Schizosaccharomyces pombe: one gene and its partner. The gene in region 2 interacts genetically with the main gene of each other region. Each region holds a gene or a part of one and is shown on either strand. Other genes may lie near its edges.

Evidence for each region.
Region 1: mutations in vma1 (region 2) and btn1 are lethal when combined (synthetic lethality), as found in Schizosaccharomyces pombe (one study listed by BioGRID).

The regions. Positions count from the first base shown.
Region 1 is NC_003424.3:2,041,016-2,053,596, reverse strand, and holds btn1 (battenin CLN3 family protein), read left to right. Parts: upstream 1-1,848; 5' UTR 1,849-1,944; coding exon 1,945-3,135; downstream 3,136-12,581. Other genes in the region: protein Mil1, read left to right, coding at 3,437-5,176; SPOM_SPAC607.07C (uncharacterized protein), read left to right, coding at 5,467-5,898; SPOM_SPAC607.06C (metallopeptidase), read left to right, coding at 6,453-6,503, 6,562-8,313, 8,352-8,387; 19S proteasome regulatory subunit Rpn9, read right to left, coding at 8,556-9,588, 9,643-9,755; arg82 (inositol polyphosphate kinase), read right to left, coding at 10,301-11,107; U3 snoRNP-associated protein Snu13, read left to right, coding at 12,134-12,151, 12,302-12,581. UniProt on the Schizosaccharomyces pombe protein: Involved in vacuolar transport and vacuole pH homeostasis. Also required for cytokinesis.
Region 2 is NC_003424.3:1,645,616-1,656,721, reverse strand, and holds vma1 (V-type ATPase V1 domain-containing subunit A), read right to left. Parts: upstream 9,505-11,106; 5' UTR 9,464-9,504; coding exon 9,461-9,463; intron 9,406-9,460; coding exon 9,306-9,405; intron 9,264-9,305; coding exon 7,507-9,263; 3' UTR 7,312-7,506; downstream 1-7,311. Other genes in the region: methylenetetrahydrofolate reductase Met11, read right to left, coding at 1-483; UBX domain-containing protein Ubx3, read right to left, coding at 1,206-2,438; mrp17 (mitochondrial 37S ribosomal protein bS6m), read left to right, coding at 2,933-2,998, 3,116-3,366, 3,416-3,434; mug28 (RNA-binding protein Mug28, implicated in mRNA processing), read right to left, coding at 3,741-4,595, 4,646-5,333, 5,381-5,537, 5,581-5,710; pls1 (phospholipid scramblase), read left to right, coding at 5,965-7,110; gid7 (WD repeat-containing protein), read left to right, coding at 11,088-11,106.

The DNA of each region.
Region 1 (12,581 bases), 400 kb from region 2:
CAGTAATGATATTTGACAAAAATCAATCGGTAAAGAAAAGAAAGTTCGTACTAAAGGCTCTATATATACAAAAAAAATGCTGCTTTAAATATCACTCAAACCGAAACAATCGACTCTGTAAACAAACAGAAAAACAGTGCTTATTCGACAAAACATTCAAAAGTGTGGGGAAACTTTTATTAATCAGTTTCTTACTGGTTTAAACAAAATATAACAAGGCTGAGCAAAAAAAATAGGAGTCAAAGGCTTTACCAAAAGCTTGATGCGAGTGTTAACTCATTGAAGCGCACATCGTCCATCTTTTTTACTTGATGATCTACACATGATCATCTCTAACAATGAGGGAAGTTTTGCATTCAGATTATATGAGTTGTTTATACAAGTCGCATATGAACATTCTGAAACGAGGGTACGGAAATGATGGAATATACTTTAATAGTTTAAAGAGAGTTAAAATGAGTGCATCATCATATCTGGTATGCATTTTCGATTACAGGGAGAGGGTGGTACTGTAAAATTACCATTTTACAGCACGAAAACTCCTTTTGTTTATCAGTAGATTAAAAGGATACTCTCATTAGTAAGTTTAGTGGATTAAATAGTATTAACAGCATGTGCTTAAAAAATGTTGAAACATGTCGATGGCACTGTGATCGCATAATAATTCATTATGCTCATTGAAGTTAATATAAAACCAAAGGAAATCTAAGAGATTATAAGTCTCTTAGCTTTACTTAAAAGAGATTCTAAAATTCAAACTCTAAAGTGCGTCTGCAAACAGCTGTTTGCTGTAGCTGCTGGATTTATGAACCATGGTGAGGTGCGATTTGTAAACTAGAGAATGATAGCGAAACGCTCGTTAAAACGCCAATATCGCACTTTCTATGGACAGTATTATAAATTTGTAGTACAGCATCAAGCATAATATAATTCCCAGTAACTAACATAATGATCCCATTACTGTTAAATGTAATGTGTTATGGGTCAAAGCAAACAAGGCAAATTTGATAATGAACGAGATGATTTTTCGGTTCGGTTTCCAATTCGTTATTATAAACAGTCGTAACGGAGCGTCAAACCTTCATTTAGTAAAAAAAAAAAAAAAAAATTGACTAAGCAATACGAAATATCTATAGTAGATACATGCGTATTACTATTTTATATTATTGTTGAGCAAAGTGATAATGCAATAACGATGTTAACCGTAGTTCGGTAAAGACACATTCATACGATATTATATTCAATTTGTTTTGATTTACGATTTAGAGTTTTTAAACATAAGCAAACGAAGATCGGAATTAAACCAAAATAAATCTCGTGCCAAAAACAATAACTTCATAAGTAGAAGCTGTAGACACGTGAATAGAATATTTAAAGATGTTGTAATTGTTTTCCTGGGAGATTTCAAGAAGTGCTAACCGAAGCATGAGTAAACTAGGAGCTTTTCGATCACAGCAAGCAAGGCATGTCAGTTACTAGTCGTTGAAATTTTAGTAGGGTAAGCTTTAGCTTGATAGCGGTTGCTTGGAAAAAACAGTGTAACATTCAAAATCGGTTTCTTTTGAACCTGACAACATTACCGTAATAATTCAATCGCTCAATACGCCATTCGTGAAGGGTAGTAGCCTTTCTCTTACGAAGTTACTAAAAACTCAATTTTTTTTGTACCCTTAAGCGCTTACGAGTTCTTTTCTTCAACTTATTGCTACTCGAATAATAAATGTTAAACATATCTCGACTTGCTTTTCAGTTCGTTGATCCTCGCTATTTACAGTTTGTAACAAGTTAACTCGTCTATGAAGTCATCGATAGAAGGGCTTTAAAGTGTGCTATTTGCGAAACAACAGCAAATTTGTAGACTAGCACTTTACAAAAGTCTACTATCGTATTGCCGGTTCAAACTAAAATTTATGACCTCAGTTTCTACTAAATATAGTACGAATCATGATTAAATTGAGGTTAACAAAAGATGCGAAAGTAGGGTGTTGCTTCCTAATTTTTGGATTGTTAAACAACCTTCTCTACGTGATAATTTTATCCGCTGCCTTAGATTTGGTTGGCGCAAACGTTTCTAAGGGTGTGGTACTACTTTCTAATATTGTTCCTTCTTTGGCGTGCAAGTTGTCAGCATCAATTCTTCATGTTCATAAATTTAAGTTTGCAAAGAGAATCGGTTTTTGTGTTTTCATGTCCATATTAGGAATGCAATGGATTGCTTGGTCTTCCTCCGTCCCTTCGAAAATGCTTGGTGTATCTCTGGCAGCCATTTCATCGAGTTTTGGCGAAATCTCTTTCTTGCATCTATCAAGTCGTTATCACTCTGTGTCTTTACCGTGCTGGAGTTCCGGAACAGGCTTGGCCGGTCTCTTTGGTGCATCTTCCTATTTGGTTATGACTACATGGTTTAACTTCTCGGTACGCAGCACACTTATTATCTCTAGCTTTCTGCCGCTTTTCCTTTTGATCATGTACTTTTTTGTGTTGCCAGAGTCTGAATCTACATCACCTTCAATTAACAACAATTATACGCCAATTGAATCTATTGATCTTCGAGCAGGGCACGTTTCATTCAATTTCGTTAATTCTTTGAAGCAAACATTCATATTCATGCAACCATACCTTCTTAGTCATATGTTTCCGCAGTTCCTTGTATACTTCTCAGAATATACTATCAATATTGGTGTAGCTCCCACTCTTTTATTCCCGCCCGAAAAAGCTGGCTTTTCTTCGTTTAGGGATTTTTATCCTACTTACCAAACTGTTTACCAGATTGGTGTTTTCCTATCGCGATCCTCCATTTCATTTTTTACTGTCCCATATTTGCGCACATTGGCAATAACACAGTTCATTATCCTTCTATTTACTATACTACAGTCGGCCCTATATCTTACTTCCAGCTATCATTTTGTACTATTCCTCATATTCGTTGAGGGTCTTATTGGTGGTACCGTTTATGTGAACGTGTATCATAGTTTGCAGACTACGGAGAGTAGTCAGCGTGAACTAGCTATTAGTACTGTTGGCTCTTCAGATAGCTCTGGAATTTTTTTAGCTTCATTGGTATCACTATTCCTTGAACCCTCCTTGTGCCATTTCCAAGCTGATCGTGGCCGAGATTGGTGTGCCTTAACTTGAAATAGTGAGTGCGCACATCTCCATTATATTGAGAGTTAACCTATGACGTTTCTTCCATTAGTGTGCTAAGTGCTTCAATATCAAGTTTGCTTTACGACCATTTTCTTTCAACTATTGTTTACTTTTTTAGTTCTTAATAGGTTTGCTTTGAAAGAAGAAGTTTTTCATTCCTAATTCCTGATACCAGAAGTTCTTAAACTTTTGGTGCACAATTACTTTCTGCTGTGCATTCTATGCGAATCATATCAAAACATACATTACTTAATTTTTTCCTTTTCATATCTTCCTTCTTTTAGATAATATGGCAGAACAGAAAATCATATCCTTATTTGACGATGATGCTTGTACTCGTTATACAATTTTAATTGCTAGTACAATTGGTGAAATGCGAGAGAAGAAAGAGTCAATAATCGATAACACGGATCCTGAAATAGTAAAATATCTTTCTCAATTATTGGACGTCTTTAGAGAAAACTTCGACACTTGGGCAATGGCAGTTGTAAATCGCACAGGTTGCGCACTGGATCCCTCTACTCCAAAGGATCAAGTAGAAGTAAAAAAATTTCGGCAGTTTTCCGAAACAGAGAAAAGCGAGTGCTTTATTAAATGTCTACTGTTATTGATTCTTTCATTGGGTAATTATTCTCCTTATTCCCGTAATTTATTATATAGTATTGCAGAGAAGTTGGGCTTGTCCTCTATCGTGGTTTATAAGGCTGAGCTTATCACCTCTTCTATGCTTTTAGATACTTTTCAAACTATGGAAAGCAATCAAGAAATGTATGAACTTTCGGGCACCCGAAAAATGAGAAGACGGATTGCAATGGGTCTCGCTGGACTGGCAGGTGGAGCTCTTATTGGGTTAACAGGTGGACTAGCTGCACCTTTTGTTGCAGCTGGGTTAGGGACGTTATTTGCTGGTCTAGGTTTGGGAACTATGATTGGAGCAACCTATCTTGGCACTTTGATTACTTCGGCACCAATGATCACTGCTCTGTTTGGAGGCTTTGGAGCCAAAATGAGTATGCAACAGATGGGGGATGTATCTAAGGGACTCACTGATTTTGAATTCATACCTCTCAGTGTGCAATCGCATTTACCGGTTACCATTGGAATCTCAGGATGGCTTGGGGATTATAACGAAGTAGACGCTGCTTGGAAATCTTTAACTGTTGGAGATAAAAGTTATTATTGGGGAGACATATATGCTTTGAAATTTGAAGTTGAAGCTTTAGTTGATCTTGGAAAATCTCTTTCCAGAATCTTATTTTCTGCTGGACTTGGCTGGGTAAAGGGAGAGGTTATTAGTAGAACGATATTAGCTCCTCTTGCTGCTGCTTTATGGCCTTTATCACTTTTGAAAGTCGGAAATATTTTAGGCAATTCCTGGAGAATTGCATTTAATTTATCCATCAAAGCCGGTGAAGCTTTAGCCAATGCGCTTTGTGTTAGAGCTCAGGGTATGCGTCCAGTGACTTTAATTGGGTTTTCGCTTGGTGCACGTACAATTCTTGAGTGTTTACTACATTTGGCTGACCGTGGTGAGACGAATCTAGTTGAAAATGTGATAGTAATGGGCGCCCCTATGCCGACTGACGCTAAGTTATGGCTTAAAATGAGATGCGTTGTCGCTGGGAGATTCGTAAATGTCTATTCTGCTTCTGATTATGTACTACAATTAGTGTATCGTGTCAACAGTGCGCAATCTACGGCTGCTGGTCTTGGACCAGTTTCTCTTGATTCAAATACTTTAGAAAATGTCGATGTGGGGGATCTTGTTGAAGGTCATTTGCAGTATAGATGGTTGGTTGCCAAAATTTTGAAAGAACGTCTTGGGTATGATAACATTTCTGATGCTGAGATTCAATCGCTTGCAGTACAGGAAGAAAAATACGAATCGAAGCAAAGAACCTATTATTCTCAAAAAGAGCAAGAAGAGGAAATTGAGCAAGAAGTACTTTTTGACGCCTCTAGCGATACTGAGTTAGCTATACAGAAGAAAGAAGATGAGGTGAATGAGGTACGAGAAAATAAAAAGTGAGGAAAAAAATTCAAAATGTTTAACATCATTGAATTACACGAAAACATGTTTTATTATATTTTGTTTTAATGATAATAACGGACTCCCAAATTTGCGTTAAATTGTTATAAGGACATTCAAGGGAAATTTGATCTTTAAAGCACCTCATTACTCTCTTTTGGATTTTGCACCATCTTGCGTACTTAATTTTGTTGTATTGTACCCCAAGTTTCTTCTTTCTAATTTTCAAACGTTGAAAGAAAATTTTATGAAAACTGTTTGAAAAATTCTTTTAGATAAATTGGTTCATCATGGGGACGTTTGGCATTGTAGCATTGTCAATTATATGCTCGATTGCTTTCTTATTTGTTGCATATGGTGTCTTACGACTAATTAATTCTATTCGGAGAAGAAATATGATGACAGCTGATGTTAGTTCTGTAAAGTCTTCTCAAACCTGGAACTTTCTGAAGAACCCTTTTTCCAATTCCGCTAAGTTTGAAGCCTTGGATGCAGACGACATGTGGGATACAAGGGTTGAAGAAGCAGAGCTTAATACTATTCCTTCTGCTTCTCCATTTATAGATCACACATCAGAGACAGTACCTTTTGTAAATACCGAAGCCCCTCCTCCCAGACTGTCTTCATCTTTCTCACGACAAAGTGGTGAAAATGCAGAGACTCAAAGTCAAGTATCCGCATCTCCATTCAATGACAAAAACTCTCCATATGTACAAGAATAAAGCGATTAAGTTCTTAAACCTAGTCCTCTTTTTTAGGCCGGTGTATCTATCGTCATGCGTACATATTTGATACTAAGGACGTGCTTTGATCCTGAAAGTATCGCTTTTACTCTGCTAGATTTTTCTGTAAATCTTGAGCCATAACATACACAATCATCGTTTAATAAGTTTTGCACTCCTCTTTTTCTAAATATTTATTTACAATCATTAAAATAAATAATCCATTAATTCATTGTACTTATATAAGTCTTCAATAGTTAATTTGGACGTCTACTGTCTCCGTAAAGCATACAAAAGTTTATTATTCAGCTAGAATTTTAAATAATTATTGGTCTCTCAGTATACCCACTGCCAAAGACTCAATCAACCGATGCTGTAATTTTATTGTTCAAAAAACGCGATTATATTATGTTTTGTATTTTATATGATGTCGTGTATATTAAATTTATAAATTTGAATAAATATGTAAATAATTTATATGTTTTGTGACATTAGTCTAAGTCAATTCGAAATAAATATAGAATGTACTGCACACGCGTTTGTCAAGAGCCAGCATGAGTCAGATCATTTTAGACAATATATCCCAAAACGAAACTGTATACAATGTACGAGTGTTTTCAATGTTATTTTCATAATTGTACTAATATAGATGCCTAATTTTAGAGATTTGTTATTATACATGGTAGAGTTGGACCTCGTGCAAGTTATTGCCCACAAACAATCAATGTGAAGCATCACGAAAATTCATTTCCAGAACAAACATGGGTAGTTACAGACTTATATTTTAAAGCTATCATTCACGTCGTTCCCGGAGACAATACCATACTATTTACTACGGACGATGGAGGTAAACTAGAATTGCAGGTTTATTACCAATTACTTGTTGATAATCCTTTCTATTGTATCGCCTTTATAGTTGGAAAAGACTCAGACCTTTCATTTGATGCACCTCACGGTGCCAAAAATGATATTGATGAGGGCATCCGTAAACTCAGATGCGCTGCTTACTTATGGCAAGCTTTCACCGCTGAATGTATGTATAGAAATGGTTATGGAAGACGTTCTTTTAGAATTGAGGAAAGTGTGCAACCCGACACAATGTCTTGTTTGTCCCCTTGGGGCACCGAAAGGTTAACAGCCACTATAAATATTCTGCGAAGTGATAAAACAGCAGAAGAGATTCGATCGGTTCCTCCAGATCAATTGTTTCATATAGCTGGAGATGCTGTCGACAAACTACATCTTCCTGAGCCTTGGCATTATATGTGCATGTTCTTGGATACACGATATGATCCTTCTACTCAAAAAATTCGTGGACATGTAGCTTTAGGTGGAGGTACAGACATGCACAAACTTGGAGTGTTTGGTTCCCATTCGTTACATTCTTTTCCTAGTGCACTTGAGTATGTTGTACCTGTCTTTAGTGATGCCCGTAGAATCCCTTCTTACTTGGCAAATGATGCAAATGAAAGTTCTACGATTTGGGAATGTGCGAATATAGGGATAGGCGCTATGCTTCATGAGTTAGGACATACACTTGGTTGTCCTCATCAACCAGATGGAATCATGTTGCGATCATATCCAATATTTAACCGCAGTTTTACGACAAGAGAATTTGAATGTGTTAGAACTGGAAGTAAAGGTCTTGCCCCAGTGCTTGCAAAAGATGAATGTTCTTGGCACCATCTTGACATGTTAAGGTTTTTTTATCATCCGTGCTTTAAACTACCTTCAGACCCTACATATCCGTCGGACATTGAAACGAACTACTTTGTTAAAGGAGAAACTATCACATTTGTCAATTCGACTGGAATCTTTTTAATTGAAATTGAATACAATGGACAGACCAAGGGCTGGAAGGAGTTTAATCCTCCAGTCGGAGAAGCTTCTTTAACTGATGCTGAAATACGCTCTCTTTCAAATGCAAGCTCCAATCAAGATTATCGTGTTCGCGTTCTATCCAGAAATTTCAAATGTATTGATTTAAACAATGTACCTGAAATTATAAAAAATGCGAAGGTTGAATCGTCTTTTGGAACTGTTTATCGATCTGAAAGATATGGTTTGCGAGGTTGTAATGGGAAAGAGTTATCAAATATTTTAATAGCACCTGAAAAGTTTAAGCCTACTAAAATTCGTGTTCATTGTGGTTTAGCTTTGGATGGAATTGAAGTATTTTTTGGTGATGAATCAGTTCTTCTTGGTAACCGTGGTGGAAGCCCTCACGATTTTGAAATACAAGGCTCCCAAATTGTAGGCTTTCAAATACGTTGTGGAGCCTGGGTGGATGGGATATCCATTGTTTTAGAAAATGGTAAAACAAGTCCATTTTATGGAAATGCTAACGGGGGTGGGTTGAAAAGCTATTTAGTCCCAAAAGGTTTTCAATTAGTCGGGTTTTATGGCACATTAGGGGTAAGTTTTTTTTTATATTATTGATCTAACATTAATAGCCATTCATGGATTCAATTGGGTTTTTTATTAAGTAGCTTGAATTCTGAATACTAATTGAATACAATTGCTTAAGGAGAATGAAATTACGTACCATGTTTACAACTAATAAAATTACTACACTGAAATGTATAATAATGTATAGAAAAATAGTTCTATTTACTTTATAGCATGTCTTGTCTTTTAAACAATGAGTTTTGTAGTCATCAAACGAAAACACCTTTTCCAGAAATTTCAACCACATTAGAAAGGTTCTTAATATTTTGGTTCCATTCTCGTAGACGAGATTCCATGCTTGCAATTTGCGAGTGATTTAAAATTCTAGATTGGACGGAAGAAATGGTGACAATTTGGGTAACCTCATCTATAACACCTGTTATAAGCCCTACGCTTAAAGCACGCATAATGAGTAACTCAACTTCATTAGAAGGAATACGGGTTGCACGAGCAATTGTATCAAATGTTAAAGTACGCTGATTTGGAGGTAATTGGAAGACCAACTCAATGAGGGCCATTAAACGAATTTTTTGACCTAGTAAAGCAACCGAACTTTGCAGTAAAGGCATTTTGTTAATTTGCCCCATTAAGCGTTCAAACAAAGGTAAATCTCCGACATTCATGGCGATGACTAAATCATGTAACCACTCGTGCTGTGTACCTACTAGCAACTCGAAAACAGGATGTAATAATAATTCACCAAAATTATAAATATCACCGAGTATTGCGGCAACACTTAGATCCACCGCTCTTTCAACTAACTCGGTATGAGAGCATTTATCGAGGTCGATGCAAGATAAATACAATAGACAATGACGATAGTATTGAGCATAATCAGCCTTTGCCTTGTAGTAGTCTGCACTGACGCTATAATATGAAGAATGAATAAGACTTTCTACGTAATCAATGTGGTCGATAATTTTTGAGGCTTTGACAAGTAGTTCCCGGGCTTCATCCAACTTACCACTAATCAGCTTGATGCGAGCAATGGCAACAATGGAATATACATAGGCATCTTTATATTTCTCTTCATCCAATTCGTTAACAATTTGGTTTAAATTACGAAGGGCTTCGTCGTTAGAACATGACTCAAAAGCCTTTAAGCCCATGTACACTGCTTTGAGTTGATTGATATTAGGTCGAAATGAGTTGACAAAGTTCGTATACAAAGGAAGCCTTAAAGGTACTGTTTCTGGGGTATCAAAGAAAACAATCAAAGCATCTGTAAGTTGTTTCCATAATCTGGCGTCAGTTAATGTAAAGTTCATTTTCTTCTAAAGCACTTTTACAACATACTTCCTTTCATAAAGGTCTTCCATTAAAATATAGGATTGCTGAAGGCTTTCTGGAGCTCTTGTAGCTTGATCGTGTAAAAAATCAGACATATTGACAGACATTTCGGTATCCATGATGAAATCCTTCGTGGAGTAGTTGTTTGCTGATGGCAAGTGCTCAAGTCATATTACTACTGTTTGAAACTTTAGGTAAATGGAGAAATATAAGCATATTTATTTTATTTTCATTATGTTAGTTAAAATTATTATTAAAAAAAAAGTTAAAGCGTATTTGAAAGCATATAAGTAAAGCATGCTTTAGTAACCTCTATGAAAACAACGCAAGGTATAAAGCAAACTTCTATAAGTAAACGAACTATTTTATTAAGAGAAAACTGACTGTTTTTTAAGTAGTTCGTTTGTGGAATAAGATCTTTATCTTACCAAAAATAAAAAGGGTAGATAACCTTTCTGAAAATTTTCATAAAATAAACGAAGAATAAAAATTATTTTCTTTTCTATAACAAATCAATACTTCACGATCACTCAAAAAAATAAATAAGGTATCATTTTTATAATAGTTATAGTGGAATACTATACAGATAAATTAATTAGCTTTAACCAGCAATGATTAAAAAAATTACTTTTCTTTTAAAGGAATTTATCATGTCAGTATTCAATTATTCATTCTTCAGGAGCATCGCAAAACAGTGAATTAAGTTTTTAACCCCAATTAATGTGTTATGGTCTATAGTGTTTTTCGTCCATCTAGAATGTGCCAAATCTATCAGCTTGAGAACTACATTGCTTTCACAATGATACGTTGGATTTAGGGAAGAGTAATCATAAACGAAAAGAATACTAGAAGATTTTAATTCAATATAAGACTCAGAAAGATCAACTTCAAATAATTTCAATAAATTAAGGAAGCTTTCAACCAACCTTGCTTTTTGAGAAAGAGAGCAAGAGACAAAAAAATCATTTAAGCCTTCTACGACATCTGAATCCGTAAGGGTTTTACCCCAAGCTGTTGATCGTTTAATGTACGTATTGTTTGTTCTGTCCCACGACAATATACCAGTTATACGAAATCCAAGACTACCACTCGTCGTACTTCTGGAAACGGCATCTAATCTTTTTCGTTTTTCAAGAGGAGCGTCATCGGCCCACAACTGTTTTCCTAATTTGATATCCATGACACAAGGAGTTTCCATCTGATACAGAATATTTTCTAAGATTATAGCTTTTCCAGTTAAGGAAAAAGCAACACTTTCTGCGATCGGGTTGATACCCTCAATGTCTCTACTAGAAGGCATCCACTCACCGAAATTCTTAGGAATCCAGTTGTAGAGCGTAATATTGTCGTTACATGTTTTATAAAAATCAACTTCACTTTTAATGCATGGCTTAATTAGAATTTTATCATCCTCACTGACTAGTACTTGGCCATGACCAGCAGCTTGAAATGGAAACAGTTTTAGTTTCATCAAGAGTTAAAGAAAAAATCCGCTAGTACATGTTTTTTCGTCAAAAGTATATTTCTTGAAAATTGCAATACGCGTTTAGCAATATGCTGAAGCGTTATTTTCGATGTGACAGCTGTTGGGTAAGCGGAATGTAGAATGAATTGAAATAGTGTAGAGCTATATCAACCACTTCCACTGCTTGCACGAACATGCAGGTTATATGAGCTGAATAAATAAGTGTAAAATTTTATCTAATAATATAAAACAATGAATTTCCTAAACACATATCCAAATGTGTATGTACTCGCTGTTAATTTATTCAGCTTTTTTTACAGTAGATAAAGTTGTAGCCTGGAGATCGAAGTATGAATTTAACAGAAAGTATAAACTTTTTTGGATATTATTTAGAAAGTGTTTTGCAAAGTTTTTATAAATTATAATATTATTAAAAACCTATATTCCAAACCACTAAGGGAAAATATTTTAGCTAAATTACAATTTACACACTTTCAATAGTATGTACCAGGGCTTTTTTTTTTTTTTTTTTTTTTTTTTTTTTTTTAGGACAAATTATATGTACTTTGCTAAAATTTAAAAGTTAAATAGTAGATTATTAGCAACTTCTTTTTTGCTAAGTCCATAGACTATATAACAATACAGCTCTCAATCAGATATGCAGTTCCAACTTTTTTTAATGTTATTATATTCTGTTAAATATGGTAAACAATGTCCAATTGAAGAATGCCTGCTCAATAGAAATAAACTCACCAATCTGATTTATAGTTTTGAGTCCTCCATATTCATAGTGTAATGCCAAGAAACAATTAAGATTATTAATGTGCATAAATTTCTTAGAATTCCAAATTTAAGCAAATTTGGATTAATTTTCCAAGTTACATTGATCGAAGGATCGACTAACGTTGATGTTGTTACTTGTACTTTTGGACTACAGCTAAAGTGAAGTTTACTAAAGAAAATTTCTTAGCAAGGGCGAGCAACCACCATTGTAGGTCAGATACTACTTTTTACAGCAAGGAACCCGAAAAAATGTCAGTTAACCCAAAGGTATGTTAATAATGGTATAAGACTTCTTCTTTGGCTACGAAATAGCTGAAAGCATGCTAGTTTCAAATGCTAGTTTCGTCGGCAATTTTATTACGGAAAATGAACTTTTCCGAAATTTATATTCGTTTTATTGCATACTAACATTGTTAGGCCTTTCCTTTAGCCGATTCTGGCTTAACCCAACAAATTCTCGACTTGGTACAACAGGCCTCTCATTACAAGCAGCTTCGCAAAGGTGCAAATGAGGCTACCAAAACCTTGAACCGTGGTATTAGTGAATTTATAGTAATGGCGGCTGATACCGAGCCCATAGAGATTTTATTGCATCTGCCATTGCTTTGTGAGGACAAGAATGTGCCTTATGTTTTTGTTCCTAGCAAGGCTGCTTTGGGACGTGCTTGTGGTGTAAGTAGACCGGTGATTTCAGCCA
Region 2 (11,106 bases):
GTTGGAATCGACATGACCTTCAGGATAAGCAGCGACACCTATACAAAAGTAATCTCCATATTTTTCACGTATGTATCGTACTAAATCCACCGCGTGCTCAAACTCACTAACCTTTCCTTCCCAATGATCGCTATTTAAAGGCGGGTCACCTCGCAAGGCCAAGATGTTACGAATTCCATATTCCTTAGCAGTTTCGAGAGCCTTATCGATTATGGCTTTATCTACATTGGTACACGTCAAATGTAAACAAGCTGGGATTTTGTGATGCTGCTCTAGCATTTTGGCTAAATAAATTGAGACCTCCGCAGTAGAACCAGCTGTACCCCATGTTACACTAGAAAATAATGGCATCATGTTTCGCGACATTCTCGTTATACGACTAGAAAGATTTTCCAAACCGACTGTGGTTTTCGGTGGAAAATACTCAAATGAGTAGAATGCGTTTCCATTAGGAATTTTATCAATCAAATCAACAATCTTCATGATTGCTTAGGGATATCGAAGCAAAATTGAAGGTATTTGAGGTGTGCGCTTAGGAAATGCCCTCTTCGCGATAAGTTGAATCAAATCATGGATTCGATGTAGTAACGATTTCTTACAAATTTTGGTTAACATCACTATAAATACAATAACCCATAAATTAGTACTACACTAAACAATAGCAGACTTTGCTGCAATGCTTAACTGCTTGTGTCAAGGTTTACTGAACAGTAAAGACTAAACGTATTTGCGCAGAAAAGTTGGTTGATATTTCAAACTCCAACATTAATTATTGTTTGATGGGAATTACATTCATGAATAATAGTTTTTGTTTATGTATATCTTAGGTCAATTTGCTAATACTTAGTGCCACGTTGATAGCATATCATAGCATTTCTTTTAAAATCAATGTTTTCAAAAAGGTCCTTTGGTAACTACAGATGTTTATTAATAACCATAATAGTGATAACTTTTAATTCCGGTTTTCAACTATCTCTGAGCTACATATCCTGATATAACCAATAAAATACTCAAACTTGGAAATTGTTTTGATGATTTAATAGGACATCATTAAATAAATAAAAGGTTTCCTTTCAGAAATAGAAATCAGATTTCTGACAACCCGAAATATGCTTCCCATATTCAATAGCTCTCACATATGTTCATATAATAATCCACGGCTCTTATGTCAACTGGGGATCACTATTTTTCCTATTATTTTTAGACTACAGAGATTTTTGAACAAGTGAGGCATTTTTTAATGAAGCAGCTTCAACAGTGACAGACGGATCATCTTCGAGAGTCTTTGCGGGGAAAGGTACGGAAAGGATGAAGTTGCCTGGTGAAACGGCGCGTACAGCTTCATAGATATCATGAAGTGTATGCGAGAGATTGACAGTAAGGACAGTTCTTCCACCATTTGATAAGCGTACTTGAATTCTCGTGGTGGGTTTATTTTCGTCAATCTGTAAAGATGCATGCGGAGTTGTTGAATTGGGTTTGACATTTATAGGAACAGAGGAAGAAGTAGAAGTATCAGTGTAAAGACCACCTGGCATTTGAGACATTCGTGGTTGCATGTAGGTAGAACCGAGACGTTGTCCCTTGCCTGAAAAAGGTTTGAACGGCGCTACATAATCCTCATCCATCCGATGCTGAACTACAACATCAATTGGTTGATTCATAGATACTCCTAGAAGATGCAAAGGTGCTCGACCGCTATTTATATAACGCAACATTTCTTGATTAGCGGGATCGTCATATGTATAGATAGGACCATCGTCTACACTAAAACCATTTCGCCAAAAGTACAAAGTACGACGTAAAGGCTTTTCTGGTTGACTCTCAGTAGGAGGATTTTCACGCGGAGGACCTGACTGCGTTACAGGAGTGGTCGAACCAGAAGCCTCATTTTCTGTGCCTAATCGTTGTCCGACACTAGCCCAAGACGATGCAAGACTAGAAGGACCTGAATCTTGCTCATCTAAAGGAGATATTGTGTGTTGACGTGCCTTTTCGAGAATATCGCGCACCAACTGTTTCTTTGGATCAGGATCACCGTCTTCTACAGAAAGCCCACTCTTCTCACCACCAGTAAAGAGATGTGATTTCTCTTCTGCACTTTCATCATTTCCCTCTAAATCCCTAAGCGTGGCGAATTTTTTTGATGCAGTTCCTGACTTCATTCCTTGGCCTTGAGTATTTTGTTGTCTTTGCAACGGTCGAGGTGGTTGTTGATCACCACCACTGATTCCACTTGAGCTTCCAGTAACTTCAGGAACTTTCGATACATCACTGGAAGGTTGCAACCCATGGTCTTCTTCAGGAGGTATTACTTCATGTAAAAGTGCAGTAGCCAATTCATAATTCCAATTCGTGGACTCTAAAAAAAAACGGCCCTGACTAACGTCAATATTATTGCGATTGCAAAATTCCTTTAAGATATCTTCCCTATCCATTTTACTTCTGAAAAAAAGAGAAGAAAGATTTCAAGTTCTGTAGTGTTTTTTTTAGCTGTAGAACAAACAAGTAGAAATGTGAAGTCAATTGATGACTAAAACGTGTTTGACTCTTTCGATCAATCTTCTTTCAAAAAAAATCAAGATTTCTTTGATGATATACTGCTAATAGCTGTAAATATCCTTTGTTGGTAACTGCTTGTAGTTGGTAAATTTCACGTTCATCTAATAAAGAGAATCTTGCTAAATAAGTTAAGTAACAAATATACGACCCAAACGTTTCGTGTTTTTCTCCTTTACGTTTGCTTTATATTTACTTTAATGTTAATATATTCTTTTCTTTTTAGACTGTAATTTACGAAACAGAAGTTTTTAGTGCTTAACTCAAACCTCTTCTTTTCCTAGCGTACCGCCAAACCTCTCACTTACAGACGCTAGTAAAAAGGTCACACGATAACAAGCACTCTTGATAGTTTGAAAAGTATAGCAATATAATGGTTATGTATGAACTTTTTTGTATAACTAGGCCAGCTGCAAATGCAACACGCACTTCCTCACCAGTAAGTTAGCGGTAATACCTCGTTTTTGCTTTTTGAAGAACCACAAAGCGATAGTCATTATCTCATTACTTTCTAGATACTGTTTTACAATTTGAATTCATGAACTAATAAATTTAGACTCTGGCCATGAATATTGCCAAAAATTGTGGTCGAGCAATCCTGGATAACAAAGGTGTGGTCGTTGATGTTGAGTCCATGGGACTTAAGGAACTGGCTAAACCTATAAAAAAACTAAATCAATCTTACTCTTTTGGTCACTGGTGGTCTATGACCTTTTACAGTAACCCCACAGTTCAATCTGAGATACAGAGGATTCTGAGACTTGAACCTTCGGTTCTTCGCTATATGATCGTCAAAAAAGCAGATAAGTATGTTCTTTTTATAAACTATTTTATTATACTAATTCCTTTTGTGTAGATTGAGTGATTTAATGTAGAATGAGCGTATTCATATTTTGAGAAAATAAAAATATTCGCAGAGCTGTCCAATTATCTTTTATTATTCTTGTTTTTTTGGGGTTTTTTCTTCTTTTCTTCTTTTATAAAATAAACATACTTTTCCAGAGCTAAAATGTGAAATTTCAACCGTTGTTAACGACTCCTTGTGTTTCAACTTTTTCCGATCTTCTTTGTATAATACTATGTCCCTAAATTTCATGGGAGATAGATTAAAAAAAAGAACTGTTAAAATATTTAAACGACAGGTACTGATATTATGTCCTTTAGACATATCTTGCTTTTATTTATTGGTTTAATACAATGTTGGTTAAAGGCGATAGTGAAGTTTTGAATGTGGAGTGTTTTATGCCGAATTTATGGCTTGGGTTTAGGTTTTCGTTTGAAATCACCGCTTCACGTAGCTTAGCGGCACATGAATCTAAACGAGTTGGTAATGTTTGTCTAGGATCGCTATACCCGTGCTGCTGTATAGATTGTATTAGAGGTTGAGGCCATTCCTGATGATACTCTAAAATTTGTGGTTCAGTAGCCATTGGAATTGTTAGAGAGGGCGATGGAACAACTGGAGGGTAAGATTGGCTAAATATAGCACTCAGTCGCTTTTTGCGATCTTCTCTCTTTTCTGCATAATTCACGAATAATCTTTTCTTTCCGAATAACACTCCATTTAACGTGTTAATTGCTTGCACAGCTTCAAATGGATGACTGAAGGATACGAAACCATAGCCTTTGGATATTTCTGTACTGGGATACGACGCTAAAGTGCAAGATTTTATCCTTCCAAATTTCGAAAACAGTTCTTCTAATTGTTGTGTGTTTCCTACTATATTATCATCCAAGTTTTTAACAAATAAATTACAAGGATCAATTGTCGGTGTTGAGGTTGGTGTTGGCGTTACTGTCGTTTCATACGATGTTTGGAAAGAAGGGAATGAAATAAATGGATTTGGCAAAGCAGAAGTTTTGGCAATCACTGGAATTTCAAACGGCTGAGGCATTTCCATATTTGGGGGCAATAAATTTGTCATGGTTCCTTCTGGGTGATTTAACAAATTAGAGCAAAATCCCTGAACAGGTTGTTTTATAAAAAGTTGTAAAATGGATCCTTCATACGCAATGGCGTGAAATTTTTCAATGATCTAAATTAAAAGGTCAGTAATGCTATAGCAAAAAATAGCTTGCTTAATACCTCTATGCAACTTTCATAGGTGCTCACAGCCACTTCTGCGTAGTGAGTCATATCTTCATTTATGCTTTGATTGATGGCTACACCGAGAATGTGACCATGATTGCTAAACTCATTGTAAAGCTCGACTGGTGATACTTTCAACGGAAGGTTTAAAATCCCAATCACAAAAATAGAAGGGTTGTCGTACAAAAATTGGGGATTCTGTTCTAGAAGCATACCTGGCATCATTTGACAGGGTTCAAAAGCAGATTTTAGGTGTAAATGTTCCGTGTTATTTTCCTTATATGGCTCAATAAAAGTGTTAGAAATGGACGGTGTATTATTATCTTTGCAATTTGGCCTGATAGACAGATGCTTTGGCTCATTCTCCGTGAAATCTGAAACTAAGAGTGTTTGAACTGCTTTTGAGCTAAGTATACTAGTTCCTGTTGCTTCTGCAAATGCATTCTCTTTGTCGTGCACTTTTGGGGGGTTTGATTGAACTAAATTTGAGGTATTCATCGAATATTCCTTTTTGTCTTTGGTACTAACTCGAACCTCTGATACTGTCGGTCGTGTTTCCTTTGTATACTTTTCTATTTTTGAAAACCGAATTTTTGCTTTTTCATTATTCGAGTGATGAATTTGGTCAACTCCATTTTCCAACTTATTTTTGTATCTCTCCACGATATGCGTATACTCGACCTTCCTATAATTGTTGCTCTATTAGCGTTTATTATTTTAAAATCTACGTACAAAGTATTTCCTTGGAACGAACTCCCGTTTAAGGAGGCAATTGCGTTGTCAGCGCTACATTTGTTTTCAAATGTGATAAATGCAAATAAAGTTGGGGATTTAGAGTCAGTACTCTTATTCTTCTTTCTACTTAGCATGTGGAATTTTGAGAAATTACCTTAAACAGTTAGAGAAAAAATTGTTTATTCATATACGATTACCGAAAGGTTCAAACAGTTCATGAAGATCTGAGCTTTGGCACGTTGAAGGTAAATTCCCTACGTAAATGGAAATTTCACACTTCTTAGTGCTCCTTTTGTTCTTTTCTGAAAGTTTTTCAAGTGCAATCATTGTGATGTGTCTAGTTGGTAATTATAGAATTCGGAATTCTCAATGTAAACAAAAGTAAACAGGAAATTACCGCAATGTTAGCTGTTCATAAGCAATTTAATGTAGTATCCTATATTTCGTAAAGCTTTAAGGTAATCGCATAGTATGTGCTATTTTAAATTGTGAAACTTACTACACAGCCTTTATTACATATTTGTCTCAGCAACCCTCTGTGGTATAGGTGAACCACAAACTAATTTTAATTTCTCAAACCTATGCTTGAAATTCTATGGGCTAACATTACTCCAATTCAAACCTTTGTCTCCAGTAATCATTTAACTATGCTTTATGGGCTCAAACGGTTTGGATGTCGCCTTTATCATCATAGCAAATCTACACGATACATTGACGCTACAGCGAAAGTAGTCTCTCAAGAGCCTGCTGCCATTAGCAGTACTGGAGCTATTCCATTAAATTCTCCAGCGGCCCCTTTATTATCACAAGATGTTCTTATAGTAGAGAGGCAACTTGAAATGATGAATGTTTTTCTTGGTTATGAACAGGCTAACCGCTATGTAATTCTTAACCAACAAGGTCAGCATCTTGGATACATTGCAGAACAGGGTGCCTCATCCATATTATCAAGTTTATCAAGACAATTTTTCCACACACATCGTGCGTTTAAGGCAGATGTAATGGACAGTAACGGCCAGTTGGTGTTACAACTCAATCGACCATTTTCTTGGATAAACTCCCGGTTACAAATTCATTCTATTGATTACAGTAAGTTCTCGTCTACTTTAGTTGGCGAAGTCCTTCAAAAATGGCATTTATGGCGCCGTCGCTATGAATTGTTCCTTGCGAAGCGTTCTATGTTTGAACAGTTTGCCAAAATTGATGAGCGAGTGCTAAGTTGGGAGTTTCTGTTGCGAAACGAGCAGGATCGCATCCTAGGTAGTGTTTCACGGAATTTCATGGGGCTTCCTCGTGAATTTTTTACTGATACTGGTAATTACGTTCTTCGATTTACCTCTACGAGTGCAGCCAATGGTTCTGTAAATGAAAATCAATTGCTTCAAGCTGCTCATGGAATCGCTAATGATGTTTGTGCACGTGATATGAGTTTAGAAGAAAGGGCAGTTATGCTAGGCAGTGCTGTCACTATTGATTTTGATTATTTTAGCCGTATTCATGGTGGCCCAGCACTGGGACTGAATATTCCGTTTATGTTTGGAGGTTCTTCCTCCAACCACGATTATCCAGCTGAAGACCTGTCTGCTCAGGAAATTTTAAAAAACGACCAGGAAACTACGCCTTCCACCAATGATTCTTCATCTGAAACGAAGTCTCCTTTTTTGTCTGATGCAGACTTGGATCAGCAAGATTTTTGGGATATTTTTGACCGTGACGGGGATGATTGATTGTTCAACTGATTATTATTTATTTATTAACGATATATCCAAAAAGATACTTTTTCTCCTTAAAAAGTTAAATCTGATTAGTCATTACTATTACTGTTTTTATTATTATTATTATTATTACTATCCCTTCTAGTCATTATTTTGTTTTTCTCATAATTTACAACTACTGACTATATCACTGAATTTATTTCTTCAAAAGAGTTTGTTGAAGACGGCTTGTATTTGTGTAAATATATTATTTCGAGAAGCGGTTGATTCGCGATTTAATGTGCAAAATTACTTAGGACATATATTTGGATAACGTGAAAGCAATGTTTACTGGAAGTCTGTATTATCAAGCTAGTAGTCTATAGCCAGCAAAAACTAGAATTAAAAACTTAGTTGTTCAAAAAATAATTACTCAGTCAGAGTGTGAAACTTGTCCTCAATCTTCTTGTGCAGAGTTTCATAGTGTTCGACTATTTCCTTCTCGCCTTCATTAGGGTTTTCGAATTTCATCGAGGTTAACTCATAAAAGATATCTGAAGTACTTTCTTTAATCTTTGACCAAGGAACGCTACCAGTTTCAACGGCACTTTTAGCCTTTGTGTAGTAAGCAATCATGTTTCGCATCATATGATAAGTCTTGTAAAGAGGGCAACAGCGATCGTAATCAGAATAACCGTTTTGTTGTAAGAAGTCATTCTTAATAATACCGGCTATGTCCAAAGTAACTTTATCCGTTTCAGAAAGAGCCGACTTACCAACCAACTGAATAATTTCCAACATGGAATCTTCTTGTTGAATGATCTGTTTGATTTGATCACGAAGAGTATTAAAGCCTGGAACTCTTTCCTCATACCAAGGTTGCAAAGCATTGATGTATTTAGAATAGGAAAGAGAGGTGTTGATTGAGGGAAAGTGTTTACGTTGGGCCAATTTCTTGTCCAAACCCCAGAAGACTTGAACAATTCCCAAGGTTGCACTAGTAACAGGATCAGAAAAATCACCACCCGGAGGAGAAACAGCTCCAACAATTGAAACTGTTCCTTCACGGTCAGGACTTCCCAAGCAACGAGCACGACCAGCACGTTCGTAAAAAGAAGCCAATTTGGCACCCAAATAAGCGGGATAACCAGAATCGGCAGGCATCTCAGCCAAACGACCAGAAATTTCACGCAAAGCTTCAGCCCAACGAGATGTAGAATCAGCCATCATTGAAACGTTCTTACCTTGATCACGATAATATTCAGCAAGTGTAATACCGGTATAAATGGAAGCTTCACGAGCAGCGACAGGCATGTTAGAAGTGTTGGCTACCAATGTAGTACGCTTCATAATGGGCTCTGGTTTACCATTAATATCAATTGTTAGTTCTGGGAAATCCATTAACACTTCTGCCATTTCGTTTCCACGTTCACCACAACCGACGTAAACAATCAAATCAGAATTAGAGTACTTAGAAAGAGATTGTGAAATAACTGTTTTACCACAACCAAAGGCACCGGGGATAGCAGTAGTGCCACCTTGAACACAGGGGTATAACGCATCCAAAACACGTTGACCAGTCAATAAAGGTTGATTAGCAGTTAAGTTGTCCGCAACTGGACGAGCAGCACGGACAGGCCAAGTATGCAACATACTAAAAGAATGTTTCTTGCCATTAAACTCGACTTCAAGAAGTTTTTCATCAACATGGTATGATCCAGCTTCAGCAATATATGTGACGGTACCACGGGCTCTAGGGGGTAACATAATTTTATGATCATTGAAAAGAGAGTTTTCAAATACAGAACCGAAAACATCACCACCGGATACATGATCGCCAATGCGTAAATCCTTATTTGGTGTGAAATCCCACTTATGCTCACGATTAAGTGATTCTGTATTAATACCTCTAGGAATATAAATACTTTGAGATTTGTCGAAAATTTGCTTTAACGGACGTTGGATACCATCATAAATAGTCTCAGCTAAACCAGGACCTAATTCAACAGATAATGGCTTTCCAGTGCGTTGGACAGGATCACCAACAGTGAGACCGGACGTCTCTTCGTATACTTGAATAGTACATTTATCTTGATGGATACGAATTACTTCACCAACTAGTTCTTCATGACCAACGCGAACGAGTTCGTACATCGAACATCCAAGCATATTGGCTGCAACAACGACTGTAAATGTTTAGTAGAAAGCTCCAACTAACGATTTCTTACCAGGACCAGAAACGCTGAAAATAGATCCATATCGGTTTTCATGCTCGTCGTAATTTTTGAGGCTCCTGATAGCCTTCTTGGCCAGTTCAATTCCTCCCGCCTATCAAATTTGTTAATAAAAAAGAGGACTAGAAGTATTCAGCTAATTATCTTACCATCTTCTAATAATATATTTATTCTGGTGGAGTAGGTAAAGGATAGGCGTCTAACACTTTCGTTGCAGTAACGAAACGCTACATTCAATACAACGATAACCTGTAGGTCATATCGGTAAAAAGATCTTTACAAATACAAAGCCCAAACAATCGCGAATAAATAAATTATTCAAGATTCCTTGCTAAATAATAAACGGAATTTATTTATGAGTAATCACTACGGTTTAAGTTTGCTGTGAAATGTTCACACTGTATTCAATCTATTCATCTGTGCATTCTCGTGTAGACACATACCGATGGAGTTTTTTTTATATTTTGCAGAAGTGGAATTGATTATAAATTGGCACATATCACAGTGACCTGCTAGAAATGTCAGGAGCTTTACAAAGGAGCTAACAAGTGCAGTGAATTACAAGTGTTCTCCACATTAGATGCCTATTATTAATATAGTTAAAATTAGATAACCAGCGGTAAGATTATAAAACCAGGATTTGACTTCAACTACAATTTTTGCATGTTTGATGCAGAATTGTGTCAAACCAAGATTTTACAAAGTCACGCATTAAATATCAAATTAATGAGTAGAGATTTCACATTTCCAGTTTTTAATTAATCATTAAATATGTATTGGCCTTAATGAAATCATTTGAGAAATTGGCAAAACTCTGAATTACCCGTAAACATAGTCTAAATCCAATAGCGTTAAAAATGTAGGTATATTTTAACAATATATTGCTTTACAGCTTAATTCGAAGACACGTAAAACCAATATGTAAAAAGATCTATTATATATATTGGACTTGTAGGATATCTTTTTTCATAATTGTTAATACAGCAACCGTGAGCATATATGCTGGTAACTCCTACTAAATGATTAGAAAGAGGGAATATATCAATAAGCTTTGGTGGTTTAGTGGTATAATGAATCGTTGCCATCGATTCGACCCGGGTTCGATTCCCGGCCAAAGCATTGAAGTTAATTTCATTTTTTTAAAAAACATTTCAGAAAGGAATATATTACAAATGTTTTTCGACCTAATCGCGTGCCTATTCAGTTGCCCTTTAATTGAAATTGCAACCGTAGAATTTACAGCTCCTTTGACGCTTTAATGGTTTAAGCTCTCTCATGGTGCAAGGTGAAACTATTAACATGCGCGAGATTCTACAAGCATTCTGATATCCTCTCCTTAGATTAATGTTGCTTTTAAACAAATGAAGCTTAACTAGCGCCGATCCCCATCTACCATACATAGAGCTAGATAATTTAGCTTAAAATTTATTCGGAAACAGAAAATAACTTGTAATAAATTAATCTTTCATAAAATTTTTGTTGCTTTATGTTGTACCCAACTTCACATTTTTATCATTTTGTTACCTGTTCTCATTACTATAATATTAGCAAAGACCGGTGTTGCTTCACCTCTACCATATTCATTACAGGCTTAAAGAAGCTCTTTAGGTCCTTGTCACAGGCATCAAACATCTTCTTTAAAGAACACAACAATTTGAAATCGCTAAAGTGTGTGCCAACTTAGGGAACGGTAAAGGCTCGACGAGATTGGGAGAGCAGAGGAACAATAAACGCCCATTGCAGGAAGATACGAGCATTCGTTCCGTACGTCAAAAGATGGCTTTGGATGAAAAAT